Linked DNA regions of Oryctolagus cuniculus. Each later gene encodes a partner of the first gene's protein in a complex. Links are inferred from orthologs where the notes say so. Each region holds a gene or a part of one and is shown on either strand. Other genes may lie near its edges.

Region 1 (3,792 bases):
GAGAAGCACCAGGAACACAGCCCCTAACTCGCGCCTGAGACAGCTGTGGGGGCGCCTCCCCATGAATGGGAGCCGTTTGCCCTCGAGCCCCCGGCAGAGGGGGCCCCAGGACGGCCAGGGCCACAGAGCCTGGCGGGAACAATGGCCGGCCAGGGCGCTCAGTGACCAAGGCGCGGGCTGCAGCTGACGGCGCGGGCCAGGGCACTGGTGCCAAGCTGGGCACAAAGGGGCCGTGTTCCCGGCCGGCGGGCGGATGTTTGCACAGGTGTGGGAGTGGGAGCGCCGCGGGCCGGGGGCCGGGAGCAGCCTCTGCTGCCCACAGCTCCAGCGGGCGGCCAGGGAGGCAGGCGGGGCCGTGCCAGGGCTGGGCCCCGCTTATCAGCCGCACTGTGGGCAGCTGCCCCCACGCTTCCTGCTGCTTCCAGGGCCCCCACTGCCCACCTTGCCCCAGGGTGGTCTTCTGGGTTGGGGCAACCTGGCCCCCACCCTGTGCAGGCCCTGCCATGTCCCTGCGACCATCCCCTGCCCAAACTGGCTCAGGCCCACTGCCCAGGGGCCTTCAGGGACTTGGGCGTCCACGGGGCAGGCAGAGGCCGAAAGCAGGACTTGCCCTAACCCGGGAGCTGTGTCAGCATGTCTTTGTCCTCCCAGAGCACGCTGGAAGCTTCCAGAAAACACGTTGACTTGGCCAACATCAAAAGCCCCCAGCGCATGCCTGGCTTTGTGGGGGGGGGGGGGCACAGGAGTAATGAGAGCACAGGCCAGCTCCCCGCCCTAGGTCCCTGAGAGCGAGCAGGGCCTGATGCCACCACACACCCCACAGTTCCCTCAAGGCTGGGTCCCCTGCCTGGCCTCCCACTCCCCCCTCACAGGGCCCAAGTGGGCCTGGAGACCAGCCTAGGGGAGGGGGAGAGAAGTATCCACGTCCTACCCCGGGTCTCCAGAGGTGGTGGCCCCTCAGCGGGGTGGTCTCAGGGGCTGGTTCCCCGAGTGCCTACAAAACCCTCAGCAGGGGGACCAGTGCAGCACAGCCCCTCCCCCTAAAGATGGCCGCCTAGCTCCTCCGTCCACACAGGACACTCGGGGCTCACGCGGGTCTGCGCCACACCTGAGGCTGGGTGACCCTGGCTTGGAGGCTGCCTGCAGGGCTCCCAGCTGCCCCAGGCAGCTGCAGCTCCGGAGCTCATAGGGCAGGACCCTGACTTCCCCGGCCAGGGCCTTGGAGACCCTTCCCCGCCCTTTCTCCCACCCTGTTTCCTGCCTGGCACCCTGGACCCAGATGCTGAGACACACAGGGCACGCAGCAGGCCCAGGCTCCACCATGCACACGCCAAGGCCCGGCTGGACTTCCTGGATGAAACACAAGCTGTCGGCAACCAGCCCAGAGCAGCCTGGGTGGCACGTGGGGCCTCGCACCCTTGGCTCCCAGGATGGATGTGAGGACAGAGAAACCTGAGGTCCAGGAGAGGAGACCGGTCAGCGAGGCCCCAAGCCTCAGGAAAGCAAAGCCCCAGCGCCGCGCCGACTCACCACCCCCCACCACAGTGCGTCCGCGTAGCTGCCGAACTCCACGCGGCCCGACTCGTTCACCGCGTCCTTCTCAGCCAGGTACACGAAGTAGGAGGAGAAGATGAGGCCGAGGAAGCCGATGTACAGGGTGGTGATCAGCTCCTGGGCGGGTAGAAACAGCACCTGAGCCCGGGCCCACAGGCTCCCCCGCAGAAATGGCTCCAGTGCCCCTCTGTGGTGCACACCCAGGTCAGACATCAGAATAAGCTGCTGGGCCCCTGGCCACCCTCCACCACCCTCCAGCCGTGTGCCTGGCCCTCTCCTCTGCTGTGAGAGAGCCGGAAGCTGACCAGTACCCAGCAGCCCCTGTGTGAGAGGAAGGCTGGACCTCGCCCCTGCTGTCCAGGACAGGTACAGCCTGAGCCTGCGGCGGCTGGACTAGGGGACGGGGGTGCAGACCCCACCTGCACGGCTTGCTCTGATGGGTCTGGTTTTTCACCGGCCCAATCATCTCTCATCCTCAGTTCAAAGGAAGGTGGGCCTGAGCCAGGCCTCGGCCGGGCCGGATCCCTGGTGCAGGGCCGCCACAGCGGTGTGGGCTGTGCTGCCGCACGGCCACCCACCTGGCGGTGGATGAAGACCACGGAGCCCAGGAGCCTCCAGGTGCCTCCCTGGCGGTCCACGTGCAGCATCCGCAGGATCTGGAGGAAACGGATGCCCCTGGGGAGGACACGCAGCAGGGCTGGGAAGGCCACGTCTGTCGGGAGGCCCCTTCCCACCAGCCCCCCACTCTGTGCACGGCATCTCCACGGAGACCCCTGCCCCCTGTGCCTGCCCCTCCCGGCCTCAGCCCCCCGTGCTGCCCGAGGCCCTCTCCGGCCTGGCTCTGATCCTCAGGTCCAGGCTGGAGGGCAGCTGTTCAAGCACACTCCTCTGGCCCCAAACTGCTCTCTGGGGGAGACCCAGGGCCACCCCAATTTACAGATGAGCAGGCTGTGTGCCAGTCAGCGAGTCCTAGGTCTCGTGGGCCCCGAGCCCCGGCCACCCCACCTGCCTGCATCACTGTGAACCCTGCCCCCAGCCTGCCGCTCAGCACTCTGGGACAGCGGGCACCCAGCCAAAGGAGCACATTGGAGAGGTGCGTGGAGGGCGAGGCCACCCCAACTTGGAGGGAGGAAGGGAGTAGGCAGCCCCTCCCCCCACAGCCGCAGGCCGTCAGCACCCAGGGCTCAGGCTTACCTGATGGCCGACGTGGCAAACACCTGCCCTTTGGAGCCCACGCACAGCACCACCATGGAGGCCACGACCACGATGAGGTCTTGGGGGAAGAGGGCGGCAGTCAGGACCACTGGCCAGCTGGGCCCAGGGGAAGGGGCTTGCCGGTCAGGAGCGGCAGGCCTAGCCCCCTGCTGCAGCTGTGTGTGAAATCCCTGGCTTCCATGAGGACCAGTTGTGAGGCCCACGAAGGGCCAGGGAACAAAGCTTCAGGCTCTGACCCTGATGACTGGGCTACCCAGGGCCACCAGCGTGCCATCCAGCTGAACCAGGCCAGAAAGGGGAGCCAGCCCCCCCAGACCTGTGGCCAGCAGCCCAGGGCCTTCCCGCCCCTGACAGGTAGAGAATGGGGTATCCCAGTGCTCGGGGCTCTCTGGCGGGGCCGGGCTGGGATACGGACGCTCCCCCTGGCCTGGAAACCCTGTGGGCAGGTGGGACTCACCGATGATGGAGATGGGCTTGCGGGCGAAGCGCAGCCGCCCCCAGAGGCCGACATACTTGCTGCGGCAGCCGGCAGACCAGAGCCGGACCACGTACTCGGTCCCGAAGAACACCACCAGGACGATCTCCTGCGGGACAGAGGGTGAGAGGGCGGGGCTGAGGCGGGGCTTGGATGGGGCCACGGCCCAGACACCCGATGGGGCTGCAGCTTTTCCGGCCAGGGGGCCAGGGGGCCAGAGGGCCAAGGGGCCAAGGGGCCAAGGGGCCAAGGGGCCAGGGGGCCAAGGGGCCAGGGGGCCAGGGGGCCAGGGGGCCAGGGGGCCAGGAGGCCAAGGGGCCAAGGGGCCAAGGGGCCAGGGGGCCAGGGGGCCAGGGGGCCAGGGGGCCAGGGGCAGCTCCGGTCCTCATTCCCCGGCCAGAGCCGACATAAGTGCTGCACCCCAGGGCTCAGGCGCCAAGCTGGGGTTGCAGGGCTGGCTCTGGTGGCACCACGCCCTGCCCAGCTCACACAGCCACTACAACCCCAGGAGCACGGGGCAGGCCCAACAGCAGCTAGGGAGTCACCCC
Region 2 (4,568 bases), about 65 Mb from region 1:
CTGAGCTCATGTCACCCCAAGCACAGCCTCCCTGAATCAGGGGTCACAACTTCTTCTAACGCCACCCCTGCCTGCAGACTCTGGGCAATCTTGGCCCGGGGCCCAGGGCAAAAGGAAATGGGTCAGCTCTCTTTCCTTCATGTCTCTCCTCCAGGGCCCCTTCTGCTCCAGACCTGCCCCGGGGCCCTGCAGGAGCGAGGCTCATTCTCCTCGACCACGCATGGGATGCACGCCGAGGCCGTCTCACCACCACTGCGGGCTGGCGGACTGCTGCGGTGGGAGAGGGGCCGAAGGTGCAGGCCGGGACATCTGCGTGGAGGGAGACACGGGAACAGACCCTGAGCTGGAAGGGAACTTGGTGATCACGTGGTTGGTGCAGCCCCTTCATTCGAGCAGTAGAAAACAGAGACCACTTCCACCCGGAGCAATCACTTGCTCACGGGCTCACAGCTGCAGCCTAGGACCAGAAACCAGGTGTCCCCTTCTACTGTCAGCTCCCTGCTGCCTGCAGAGTGAGGTCTAAACTCCTCTCATTGTCATCCAGACTCCTTTAGCTGTGCTCGGCCACTGGCCCTGGCTCTCTACAGCTCTCCCCAGGACTCTGAGCTACAGGCCACTCTCCAGCCACACCTCACACTCACACACCTCCTGCCTTTGCTCAGGCAAAGGCGATCATTCCCTTCCACTCTTTATCTTCCCAGCCAACTCCTGCTCCTTCCAAGACCAAGTTCCAGCGTCACTTCCGCACACCTCCCCCTTGAGCCACTCTCCTCCACACTCCCTGCCAAGCTGGTCTCTCCCCCTTGTCTATCCCAAAGTGCTTTGCACAAAATCCTATTAAAGCAGTGTGCTGTATTGACATTGTGCATGTATACGTTTGTGTGCGCATGAGCGTGGGTACACATATGCCTATTAAACTGTGTGTCCGAGGCCTCAGGACTATGACCTGTGCTTCACACATTTCTTTATTCTCCAGGCCTGAGCACATATAAAACACCCAAGAATGAATGGATCAGCGCTGCCTCCTGCAGTGCGTGCACATACAGTCATGAGAACAGCCCACAACACTGTTTTTTTTTTTTTTTAAAGCAACCTCAGGGCAGATTCTATTTGGTCTGGAAAGGGAGGCTCAAAGAAAAGCAGCCGCCTTGCTCAGGTGGGGAGGGTTAGGCGAGGAGGAAGTCTACACCGCCTTGGGGAGCCCAGACGCTTCCTGCACCTGCGCCCCATTTAATCCAAAGGGCAAACATTTTTGGCCCAAAACTCCAGCAATGGCTTTGTAACCCTCTTCCCTAAGTACCTGCCCAGGGTGTGGCTTGCCAAATGCACTCGGTCCAATTCCCTTAGCCTGTGATCCTGCCTTTCGGCGGTGCCGTTCACAACTCCAGTCTTGGCTGCACGCTAGGTGCGTGACCTTGAGCCCTGCATTCAGTCCCTCTGAACCTCACCCTGAGACGGGGATAATTACCCCTGTGCTGCTTATCTCAGGCAAGAACTGGAAGAAACCACAGGTGCGGACGTGCTATGTAAGAGAATGATTGGGCAGGCTGCCCCCACTACTGCCCTCTCTGTCTCATCCTCCCCACCCCCACACTACCGAGAACATTCTTAAGTGCCCCCTCCCCACCCAGGCTCTCCTTATCCTCAGAAAAAGGCAGGGTCGGGGTGGAGGGCTGAGGGTCTTGGCGTTTTTCTCGGTTTTTGGAAACGCTTACCTTCTTCAGCACCTGCCTGTGGCCCGCCCTCTCTGTCCATCCCCAAGGTTTCTCACCATGTAGGGGCACCCTCTGTGGTCCCAAGGCCTGCACAATACAGAGCACTGGAGCTGCCTCTCCACCCTGTTTGGCCAGGGCATCCAGCGTGTGTCCTGGTGAAGCCATTTCTGCACCCTGAGCCTTGTTCTTCCTCATCAGTAACATGGGGTTTAGCTTGCGCCCTCTTAGGAGGCATTTTGAGCTCCCACATATGAGGCTTCTGGATAGAAACGTGCTTGGAAACGCATGGAGGGAGGTAGGGATGGAGAGCCTCGTTGGTCTCCTGCAGTTGGCTACGGCTGCACACCAGGAAGGGGTGAGGCCTTGGACATTTACAGCACCCCTGAAGAGGAGACAGCCCCGGGCTACAAGTAAGACCCTGGGCTCTAATTCTGTCTGTCCCTGGTGCCCCCCCGGGCCTCAGTGGCCCCCTATGGAAATTGATGGAATAGCGAGGGGGATTAGGAGCAGATACTCACCGAAGGGCTGCACTCATGTATTCTCCAACTAGGGACTCCCGGGTCGCATGGGGCCCTGTGGGGGAGCAGGAGCAGGACGCCCATTTCGCAGGAAAGGGAAGCCCAAGGCGAGAACGGGCGGGCGGCTGGCTTGGGTTTGCAGCCTGTAAACCTGAACCCGTCCTCCGGACCCCCAGCCAGGCCTGTGTTGCCAAGAGCAAGGGATGCCTTTGGGAGTCCGGCGGTTTTCCTGAGACTGGGTCGGACCGGGTGCGGGGAAGTGAACTCGGCAGAGCCATCGGCTCTGCGCAGCAAGAAGCCGGCGCGGGGGCCCCCGAGGGTCATTTCCGCGTGCGCACTCTCAGCGCACAGGGACAGGTGTTCGCTTGCGTGCCAATGGGCGTGCAGGCACTTCTGTGTGGTTATGCCAGAGCCCGCGAGCACCGGCTCAAGCTCCGATGATTTCCCGACTGGGCGTGCAAGGGCCCCAGCCTCTCCGCCCCTCCACTGCCTGTGCCGCCCGCCCTGGGTCCGGGCGCTCGCCCGGGAGGCGTGGGCTCCGTAGTTGAGCAGCCCCCAGCTCTGGTCGCAGGTTCCAGGAGAAGGCGCTTGGCCCTCGGAAAGAAGGTGGGAAAACCCCGCATTCGCCAGCCTTCCCACCCCTGCGGGTGCGCCTTACCTACCTCTCTGCAAAGGCTGCGAGGCGGGCGCCCCGCCTGCTGGGTGGACACTGCGCCCCCTGCTCGGGGTTGCCCGGGCACTGCACGCCTCTGCGCCTTGCCGGCCCCGGAGCGCTGCCCCGGGCGCCCAACACCGCCCCGTGCCCTCGGGGCTCTGCGCTCCCACCCGCTCTCCGCTCCCTTTTCTCTCCCTGAGGGCGTCCCCTCCTCGGCCCTGCCCGGCCCCCAACACACCCACTGCTCCCGGGCTGGCTTTGAACGCCTCCGCCCAGCTCTCCGGCCTCACCCTGCTGTGGGCTCCCTTCCGTCCCCTGCAGCGCCTGCTTCCTGGACCTGAGACCCAAGGCTCCTGGCTCCCGCTTGGGCTGAGCCAGAGCGGCCTGAGGCTGATCTCCCCAAGAAGGCTGAGCGCTGGGGGCGGTGGGATCAGACTTAGCTCTGCTGTCTCTCGGCTGTGGCTGTGCCTGTGCGGCCGTGGGCAAGTCACTGCCCCCTCACTGGCCCTTGGCTTCCTCGCTGTGAGATGGGGCCAGTCCCACACACACTTGCTTCCCAGGCCTATGGCTGGGGTCAGAGGAGACCTTAGAGCCCGAAAGCTTAGCGACCCCTGAGTCCAACACCGAAAAGCTCTTTTCCAGGCGATTGCAGAGGCTCAGAGGCGGGAAGGGACTTGCAGGCTCTCACTAACCAAGTTGGTGGCCGAGATCAGACTCAGAATGCACCCACAGCGCCCTCCTAAGCTCCAGCACACGGGGGACTGGTGGCCCTGTTTGAGGTCACAGCTTAGTGCTCGCTACCCCAGAACACGCTTGGCGTTTCCGCCGCCAGGTCCTCACGCCCATGGTTGCTTCCTTGCTGGTGACATTGCAGGCTGCAGAAGACAAGCAGCCTGCCACAGCTGGGAAACCAGGGCCAGGAGGCTGGGGGCAGGGGAATGGCCAGCAGTGGGCTGTCCGGGCTCTACCAAAGCCCCCTGGCAGCCTCCAGCCTCACCTCCCAGTGACCAATAACAAACCCGGACCAGCTCTCAACCCTGCCAACCAAAACCGGCTCCAGGATATCGGGGGCCGGAACCCTCCATCTCAGAATCTAGACTCTCAGGGGGGCTGCCTTTTCAGAGACCTGCCGCGTGATGGGCGTTTTGTACAGAACTCCTTACTTCTGTGCTATGCGTTGGACCCTGCTGTGCCTCTTCCTCAGAGAAGTCATCTGACGCGAGGTGAGCAGTCCCGACTTGCAGGCGGCTCTGGGGCGGAGCATTTGACACAATTAACAGGACTGATTCCCCAAAGCCTCTGATGCAAAGGGTTGCTCAGCCTGCCTTCCTTCCCAGATCCTGCCCTTGGGCCTTGTGTTGACTTTGTGGGATGGTTTCTTTTTTTATTTTTATTTTTTTTAAGATTTATTTATTTTATTTGGAAGGCAGAGTCACAGAGAGGCAGAGGCAGAGAGAGAGAGAGAGGTCCTCCATCCGCTGGTTCATTCCCTTATTGCATCCACTCGTCAGCTAAATTGGAATATTACAAAAGCCAGTGACAGTCACCCATGAATTTTATTGAAAATGAGAGGCAAGTCTACCGGTCAGGACCGCCACTCCTTACCAGAGTGCAGCCCCCAACAGCGAGTTACACAGCTTTTTATAGTATTCTGTCCACTGGGGCTCATAATTTCGAACC

Evidence for each region.
Region 2: the proteins of KCNQ1 (region 1) and KCNE3 are in contact, whole or in part, in a cryo-EM structure (PDB 6V01), measured with the Homo sapiens proteins. The link is inferred for Oryctolagus cuniculus from reciprocal best matches to the Homo sapiens genes KCNQ1 and KCNE3. Residues at the interface, in NP_000209.2 of Homo sapiens: Arg116, Pro117, Thr118, Gly119, Trp120, Cys122, Phe123, His126, Phe127, Phe130, Leu134, Leu137, Ile138, Val141, Leu142, Ile145, Gln147, Tyr148, Arg181, Met238, Val241, Asp242, Gln244, Thr247, Lys362, Asn365, Ile368; in NP_005463.1 of Homo sapiens: Asp54, Asp55, Asn56, Ser57, Tyr58, Ile61, Met65, Phe68, Ala69, Val72, Gly73, Leu75, Ile76, Leu77, Tyr79, Thr80, Arg81, Ser82, Arg83, Val85, Lys87, Asp90.

Annotation. Positions count from the first base shown.
Region 1 is NC_091432.1:1,055,926-1,059,717, forward strand, and holds part of KCNQ1 (potassium voltage-gated channel subfamily KQT member 1), read right to left. Parts: intron 3,354-3,792; coding exon 3,227-3,353; intron 2,828-3,226; coding exon 2,749-2,827; intron 2,230-2,748; coding exon 2,133-2,229; intron 1,672-2,132; coding exon 1,531-1,671; intron 1-1,530. UniProt on the Homo sapiens protein: Pore-forming subunit of the voltage-gated potassium (Kv) channel involved in the regulation of cardiomyocyte excitability and important in normal development and functions of myocardium, inner ear, stomach and colon.
Region 2 is NC_091432.1:65,696,885-65,701,452, forward strand, and holds the start of KCNE3 (potassium voltage-gated channel subfamily E member 3), read right to left. Parts: upstream 3,062-4,568; 5' UTR 2,896-3,061; exon of another isoform or gene 2,892-2,895; intron 1-2,891. UniProt on the Homo sapiens protein: Ancillary protein that functions as a regulatory subunit of the voltage-gated potassium (Kv) channel complex composed of pore-forming and potassium-conducting alpha subunits and of regulatory beta subunits.